2 linked regions of the Saccharomyces cerevisiae S288C genome follow. Changing the gene in region 2 together with the main gene of any one other region gives a genetic interaction. Each region holds a gene or a part of one and is shown on either strand. Other genes may lie near its edges. The genes, in order: PRM15 and MGP12.

Evidence for each region.
Region 1: mutations in MGP12 (region 2) and PRM15 together harm fitness more than expected from each alone (negative genetic interaction), as found in Saccharomyces cerevisiae (one large-scale study listed by BioGRID).

What each region holds. Positions count from the first base shown.
Region 1 is NC_001145.3:820,834-825,395, reverse strand, and holds PRM15 (phosphoribomutase PRM15), read right to left. Parts: upstream 2,634-4,562; coding exon 765-2,633; downstream 1-764. Other genes in the region: ATR2 (Atr2p), read left to right, coding at 1-667; FCP1 (protein serine/threonine phosphatase), read right to left, coding at 2,942-4,562. UniProt on the Saccharomyces cerevisiae protein: Major phosphoribomutase that converts ribose 1-phosphate to ribose 5-phosphate. Involved in ribose salvage via the pentose phosphate pathway.
Region 2 is NC_001136.10:1,034,501-1,037,244, forward strand, and holds MGP12 (Mgp12p), read right to left. Parts: upstream 1,076-2,744; coding exon 731-1,075; downstream 1-730. Other genes in the region: ZIP1 (Zip1p), read left to right, coding at 1-563; inositol monophosphate 1-phosphatase INM2, read left to right, coding at 1,495-2,373; Smc5-Smc6 complex subunit NSE3, read left to right, coding at 2,695-2,744.

The sequences.
Region 1 (4,562 bases), on a different chromosome or scaffold from region 2:
CGCAGAGGTTCCTCTTCTACCACGTGCAATGACGAAGAACCGTCATATGATTATGATATTATTGGCGGTATTCCTGGGATGGGGGTCGTTTGGTATTTGGACATTCTATTATGTTTCCTTCCAACTAAATTTGAGGCATTACAGTCCTGTTTGGACCGGAGGTACGTATTTCGTTTTCGTAATTTTCGGATCCATGGCTGCATTCTTCGTTGCCTTTTCTATCAAGAGATTAGGACCAGCTCTACTACTATGTTTTTCACTAATGGCATTTGACGCTGGTTCCATAATGTTTAGTGTATTGCCAGTGGAACAAAGCTATTGGAAGTTGAACTTTGCGATGCAGGCTATCTTATGTTTTGGTATGGACCTGTCCTTCCCGGCATCATCCATTATATTGAGTGACGGGCTTCCAATGCAGTATCAAGGTATGGCTGGATCATTAGTAAACACCGTTATTAATTATTCAGCGTCTCTATGTTTAGGTATGGGAGGCACTGTTGAACACCAAATTAATAAAAGCGGCAATGATTTGTTGAAAGGTTACCGAGCAGCTGTATATCTGGGAGTTGGGCTCGCTTCTCTTGGTGTTGTGATTAGTGTGACTTACATGCTTGAAAACCTTTGGAATCGACACAGAAAATCTGAAGATAGAAGTTTGGAGGCATAAACTAGTTAAATGTATATTGATATAAGTGTAGGTACAAACAACAAATATAATGGCATTCTTTAAGTCGCTTGGTCTTAATGTATAGGTTAAAATAGTATCAAAATTTTGTAACTATATTCATTTCATCTGGTCTAAACCATTCACGTCTCAGCACATTCCAAGTCAATTTCGCCAAGAAAGAGGCTCTTTGTTCTTCATTTGCGCAAGCTTCAATATATACTTTAAGTTTTGGTTCTGTTCCGGACCCGCGAATAGTGAAGCGGATATGCTCATTCTCACTACCGTTACTTGGTCTAGCAGATACTGTTATCATTTGTGATGTAGGATCGACGGGTAGAGTAGGTTTATGATTTATGGTATCCGATTGGTAACCAGTGGTTAAATCTCGATAGTAAAGTACTTCGATTTCTTCACCAATAGATGAAGGATATGACGCGCCCTCAGGAGTGTAGACATTCCTGATGTAGTCAAATATATCTTTTGTAACAGTTGGATTTGGAACGACATAATAGCCATTGTACTCTTTGAACACGCCATATTTTTTGAAGCCATTTTCTAAGACATTTAGCGGGTCCAAATTGTGGTCTATTTTCCACTTACAGTAGGCTTGCAAGAAGACAATGGATGCACTGATACCATCCTTATCATGCTCCATTGCTGGAAACATGTAGCCTATTGCTTCCTCGAATCCAAAAGGAACGTAATAGCCTTTCTTTTCCAAGAGTATGGCACGATTTCCGATCCACTTAAATCCTGTTAATGTATCCTCATAATGGAACCCTTCTATTTCTGCCATTTTTTTTATCATTTGTGAAGACACTGTTGAATTTAACATAGCCAACGGATGAACGTGCTGAAATTCTTTGTCCATACTTTTATATTTCTGATATTCATAAAATGCAAAAAGAAAACCGATTTCGTTACCTGTTAGTTGTCGCCATTCGCCTGACTGCATATCTTTAACAGCAACAGAGAATCTATCAGCGTCAGGGTCGTTGGCAACAAGTAAGTCAATGTCATGTTTTTCAGCCAAGTTTATACCAATGTCTAAAGCACCTTTTTCTTCAGGGTTAGGAAATCCAACAGTTGGGAAAGAAGGATCTGGATTTTGTTGTTCAGGAACACATAGGTAATCCTTACCTTCTACCAGGCACAGTGTTTTTTTTACGATGGTGCTGAAAATGTCAAATCCAACCCCATGCATTGGAGTGTAAACGAACCAAGGTTTGGCTTTTACTTCAAGCTTTAATGGGTTGATTTCTACCAGATTTTTAGAAACCTCCTCTAAATATAACTTCAGCATTTCTTCTCTGGAATACATCAATTTCCCTTGTTTGAGAGCCTTATTTAGAACATCGTCGAAATCCCACACATTGGCCCATGGTTCTAAATTTGCGTCAATGGAATCAGAGATGGCATGATCGTGAGGTGGAATGATTTGGCATCCATTGGAATAGTATACTTTATATCCATTATCCATTTTTGGGTTGTGACTTGCTGTTATCATTACGCCAACGGAGGCCTTTAGCTTATCCACTGCAAAGGGAACTAAAGGGGTATGAACAAATTCGTGGTCAGGATTCAAATAATGTACCTTAAATCCTTTTAAAAGAAATGCAGCAGCAGTAGCTCTAGCGAACTCCTTAGAATGGAATCTATGATCGTGTCCCACAACAGCTACCAAATTGTCTGGAAACTGTTGTCTTACATAAGTTGCCAATCCCTGAGACGCTTGTATGACTACTAAAGTATTCATCCTGCTAAAGCCAGCTTGCATTTGCGATCTTAAACCAGCAGTGCCAAACTGAATTCTAGAATCAAATCTTTTGTGTAACTCATTCCAGTCGGATTTTTTGCAGAGAGCGGTGACCTCTTCTATAGTTTTTGGGTTGCGGTCTTGCTTAAACCATAATGATATCGGATCTTTCAAGTCAGATGGTACGGTTTCTAAAATTCCTTGCAACATTTTTTGAAATTGCAGCAGCTAATGGCTCGAGAGTACTGTTGAGTATTTAGGGGGAAAGGAGAAAGAATCAATTAGTTCTCGCTACAGGGAGAAAACAATACAATATATAATGTTCAAAAAAAAAAAACGAAATGAAATCAAAAAAAAAAAAAAAAAAAAAAAAAAAAAAAAAAGGATTTCAGGATATCAAAATAAGCAAAAATATTGTTGCTATTTATCGATTTGTTACAAACGTATATATAATATGAACAATTATAGGTACAAAGACCAATGAGGAAAATGTGTGGAAAGATACGGCATCTGAGCTGCTAATCATCCAGCATATCCATCAACTCTTCCTCCAACTGCGAATCGCTGTCTTCGTTGTCATCCCCTTCTCCTTTATGTTGTACAGGACCATCTTGAGAAGGTTCCGCCTTGGTCTTCTTTTGTGATGTATCATCATGATTGTCCTCGATGCTCCTCTTTCTGTCAATGCCTTCCGAGTTGTTTTCGTCATCACTTTCGTCGTCGTGGTCGTCATCTTCGTCGTCGTCGCTAGCTGTGTCCGGAATATCTTCATCGTCGTCATTGTTTAACCATGAAGTACCAGCAGCGAATAAATTTAGATTTTCTTGTGATGTCAACATATGCTGTTGTTCCTGGGTCTCCTCCAGATATTCTTGTCTTTTTTGTAATTGTGTTTGAAAGTTTTGTAATTCCTCGTCGGAGATGGGGCTGTCCACGATTAACGTGTAGGGTTTTTCATCCACCTTTTTCCAATTTACCAAACACTCAAATATCCAATCTGGGTGAACAATTTTAATCTGTGGGTTGAACTTTTTCGCTAGACGCGCTTTATAAGTGCTAGGGTTCTTGGTGATTAAATGTGTCGTCAGGTAATCTATATCTGGAGTGGAAGTGGCACCAAATGTACTCGTCCATATCACTATGTCCGACCTTTGAATATCGGTCCCGAGGGGTATTAATCCTGAAAAAACAAAATAGCAATTTTGGAAGACTTTTTGCTTCAAACTTGGTATGATTTCCATCAGATTTGGTTCTGGCTCATTTTGTTGTGAGAGCATATCATAATAAGTTTTGTGAATGTTTGATAGCGTACCCATTAAGTAGTATAGTTCATCATCGTCATCAACTAGTAGTTTTTGATCATGCAGGTGTTTTTGTAGTTTGGCCAAGGGTCGATTTTGTTGTTGGACTTCTAAAGATGCTGAATATTCTAGTTTCTTGGTCAACTCTTCTTTGGATTCGTTCGCAGGAGGCTCCTCAGCAGTCGCCAGTTGATGGTTCAATTTTTCTTCTTGGCGTTTAACTTCTTTATCTATCTTTTCTTGTAGTTTTTTTTCGTTATCCATAATATCCGTCAGCAGTTCCTGAGATTCTTGGCTCTTCTGTCTTGTCTTCCTCCCTAGTTGTAGCATTCCTGTAGATTGTTTGGGCAAGAAATTAGAATTAATGTCACCTACACCAACGAAGAAGTTATAAGGAACAACTTTGATCAAGTTTGGACACCAATTCCAAACATCACCTCTGTCGTCAATAACTACAACCATTGACTGGTCAGTGGGGAAAAGTTTAGCTAATGATTTAGTTGTTAGAGACCCATTTTCATCACGCGACAGAATTCTATCGCCAAACAATTCGCCCGTAGGGTCCACGATTTTGGCAATTTGCAAGGCATAAGCCCTTGTAGCCATTGTGTAGATATGCATTTCAAAAAGAGGCGCCACTTTAGCGAAAAATTCCTTTAAACCGGGCCTTACCTTCACGTAGTACCAACATTTTCTTACGGGAGGCGGTCTCAGCATAGAACCATCGTCATTCATGTACATAAGTGGGAGTACTAACTCCTCATCCAACGTAAAGCTCTTGACGTCTCTTAATGTTTCAAAATTCGGATTATTGGGGTCGTTCTTCCACTCTGCAATC
Region 2 (2,744 bases):
TGATAGTTCTGAAATCGGAGAAGCAAGATATAACAGCTGAAAAGTTAGAACTTCAAGATAACCTCGAAAGTTTGGAAGAAGTCACCAAAAATTTACAGCAAAAGGTGCAATCGCAAAAGAGGGAATTAGAACAGAAGATTAAAGAGCTAGAAGAGATAAAAAACCATAAACGGAACGAGCCTAGTAAAAAAGGTACACAAAATTTTACTAAACCATCAGATTCACCCAAAAAAAATGCTACGACGTCCAACTTATTTCCTAATAACTCTGCTGCCATTCACTCTCCTATGAAAAAGTGTCCTAAGGTGGATCATATAAGTAAGTCAAGAATTAATTCATCCAAAGAAACATCCAAATTTAACGATGAGTTCGATCTTTCTTCATCATCAAATGACGACCTAGAGTTAACCAACCCTTCCCCAATCCAAATTAAACCAGTGAGAGGAAAAATCAAGAAGGGTTCAAATTGCATGAAACCTCCAATTTCTTCAAGAAAAAAATTACTACTAGTAGAAGACGAAGACCAGTCATTAAAAATAAGCAAGAAAAGGAGAAGGAAATAGAGGATAATGGAAAATTTGAAATCGTTTTGTGCGAATACATTTCATTTTGTTCCCTGCGTAAGAAGTATGCATAGTAAAATTAGCGTAGATATAGTTTTTTGAGGTATATACTTATTCATAGCTTATAAATATTTACAGTGTTGTAACTCTAGTAAAAACAAAAGAGGTCATCTAGATTGCATTCTCCTTATTTTATCACTGATATCGTCTTCTTCAAGAAAGTGCAGGATCTTGGTGCACGACTTAGGATCACCAACTTTCTCAATATGAAGTACTGGTATGTCGAAGCAATATTCCTTCCACCATTTTGCGTTTCTTCGGTCAGTTATGTTGACTATCTCTAGTGAAACTGCTTTATTATGAAATTCCTTTCTTTCAAATACATCATCTATCACTTCCTTTGCTTGATCGCATAACCCACAATTAGGCTTTGAGAAGAAAGTTAATTTCACTCCAGCATCATGTAACAATACCCTCGAAGTATGTATAGAACAGCGGAACGCTCTCAACATGGTGATATGTTCCTTAAGTTTTATGTCTTACTGAATAATTACGAATTTCTGTTATGAATTAAACGAAACTTTACAATGCATCAACTCCGAACTCTCTACGGAAAGGTAACAACTTGCGCACATCATAGACCCATAAAGCGAAAAAAAGGGAAGTCAATCACAGTTATATTGACATTCCAAAGCCAGTAACTAAAAAACTACAAAAATGGATTCTCACAGTCATATTAAGTGACCTCTTATTATTTCCCTTAAAACGGTAATTCTTAATAAAGAACGTCAGTGTTCCGAGTGATAACGCCGTGAAGCACCCTGCTTCATTACATATGAAATCGTGGGGAGAAAAAATCGTGAAAACAATATAGAGAATAAGTGAAGTTGAAGCTCCACAAGCCCTTGTAAAGTAAACTTAGATTGAAGCGATGGTATTAACGAGGCAAGTACTAGAGGAAGTGGAGAACACATTTATTGAATTACTTAGGAGTAAAATAGGACCTCTCGTAAAATCGCACGCAGGAACAAACTTTTGTTCATATGATGATAAAGCAAATGGCGTAGATTTGGTAACTGCTTTAGACAAACAAATTGAATCTATAATCAAGGAAAATTTAACGGCCAAGTATCCCAGTTTCAAATTTATCGGAGAAGAAACTTATGTAAAAGGTGTCACGAAAATAACTAACGGCCCTACATTTATTGTTGATCCCATCGATGGTACTACTAATTTTATTCACGGTTACCCCTATAGTTGTACATCTCTAGGTTTAGCTGAAATGGGGAAGCCGGTTGTTGGTGTGGTTTTCAATCCTCACTTAAACCAACTATTCCATGCTTCCAAAGGCAATGGAGCTTTCTTAAATGATCAGGAGATAAAGGTTTCAAAAAGGCCATTGATTTTGCAAAAATCCTTAATTGCTTTAGAAGGAGGTTCGGAAAGAACTGAAGGTTCCCAAGGAAACTTTGATAAGAAAATGAATACTTATAAAAACTTACTAAGTGAGTCCGGCGCCTTTGTTCACGGGTTCAGAAGTGCAGGAAGTGCTGCCATGAACATATGCTACGTAGCGAGCGGCATGCTTGATGCTTATTGGGAAGGTGGCTGCTGGGCTTGGGATGTTTGTGCCGGTTGGTGTATTCTTGAGGAAGCAGGAGGAATAATGGTTGGCGGAAATTGTGGAGAATGGAACATTCCATTAGACAGAAGATGTTACTTGGCTATTAGAGGTGGATGTGAGTCGATGGAGCAGAAGCGATTTGCAGAATCGTTTTGGCCTCACGTTGCGGGTGAGTTAGAATACTAAATGCCCCCCTCAGGTGTCGTTAAATAAGCTACATCTAAGAAAAGTTTATATAGTACTTCACGCAATTCCTACTAGTATTTTTTTCCAGTACAGGACGATATCTTGAAGCAGCAACTTGATTTCACAGGTCACTTAGTGTGGGCTTCTGACTCAAGAATAGCAAGTATTACATGCATGCGGCCCTCTCCTTTAACAGCGCGATATACGTGAAGAAAAATTTCAATGAAGAGTAATGCGCTTATTATCAACTTCGATTGAAGGGGTCCTATATCAGTATGCTACAAGGGAAGGTTGTTCGATAAACATAAGCTTCTCATTAGCATGAGTTCTATAGATAATGACAGCGATGTGGATTTAACAGAAGATTTAGC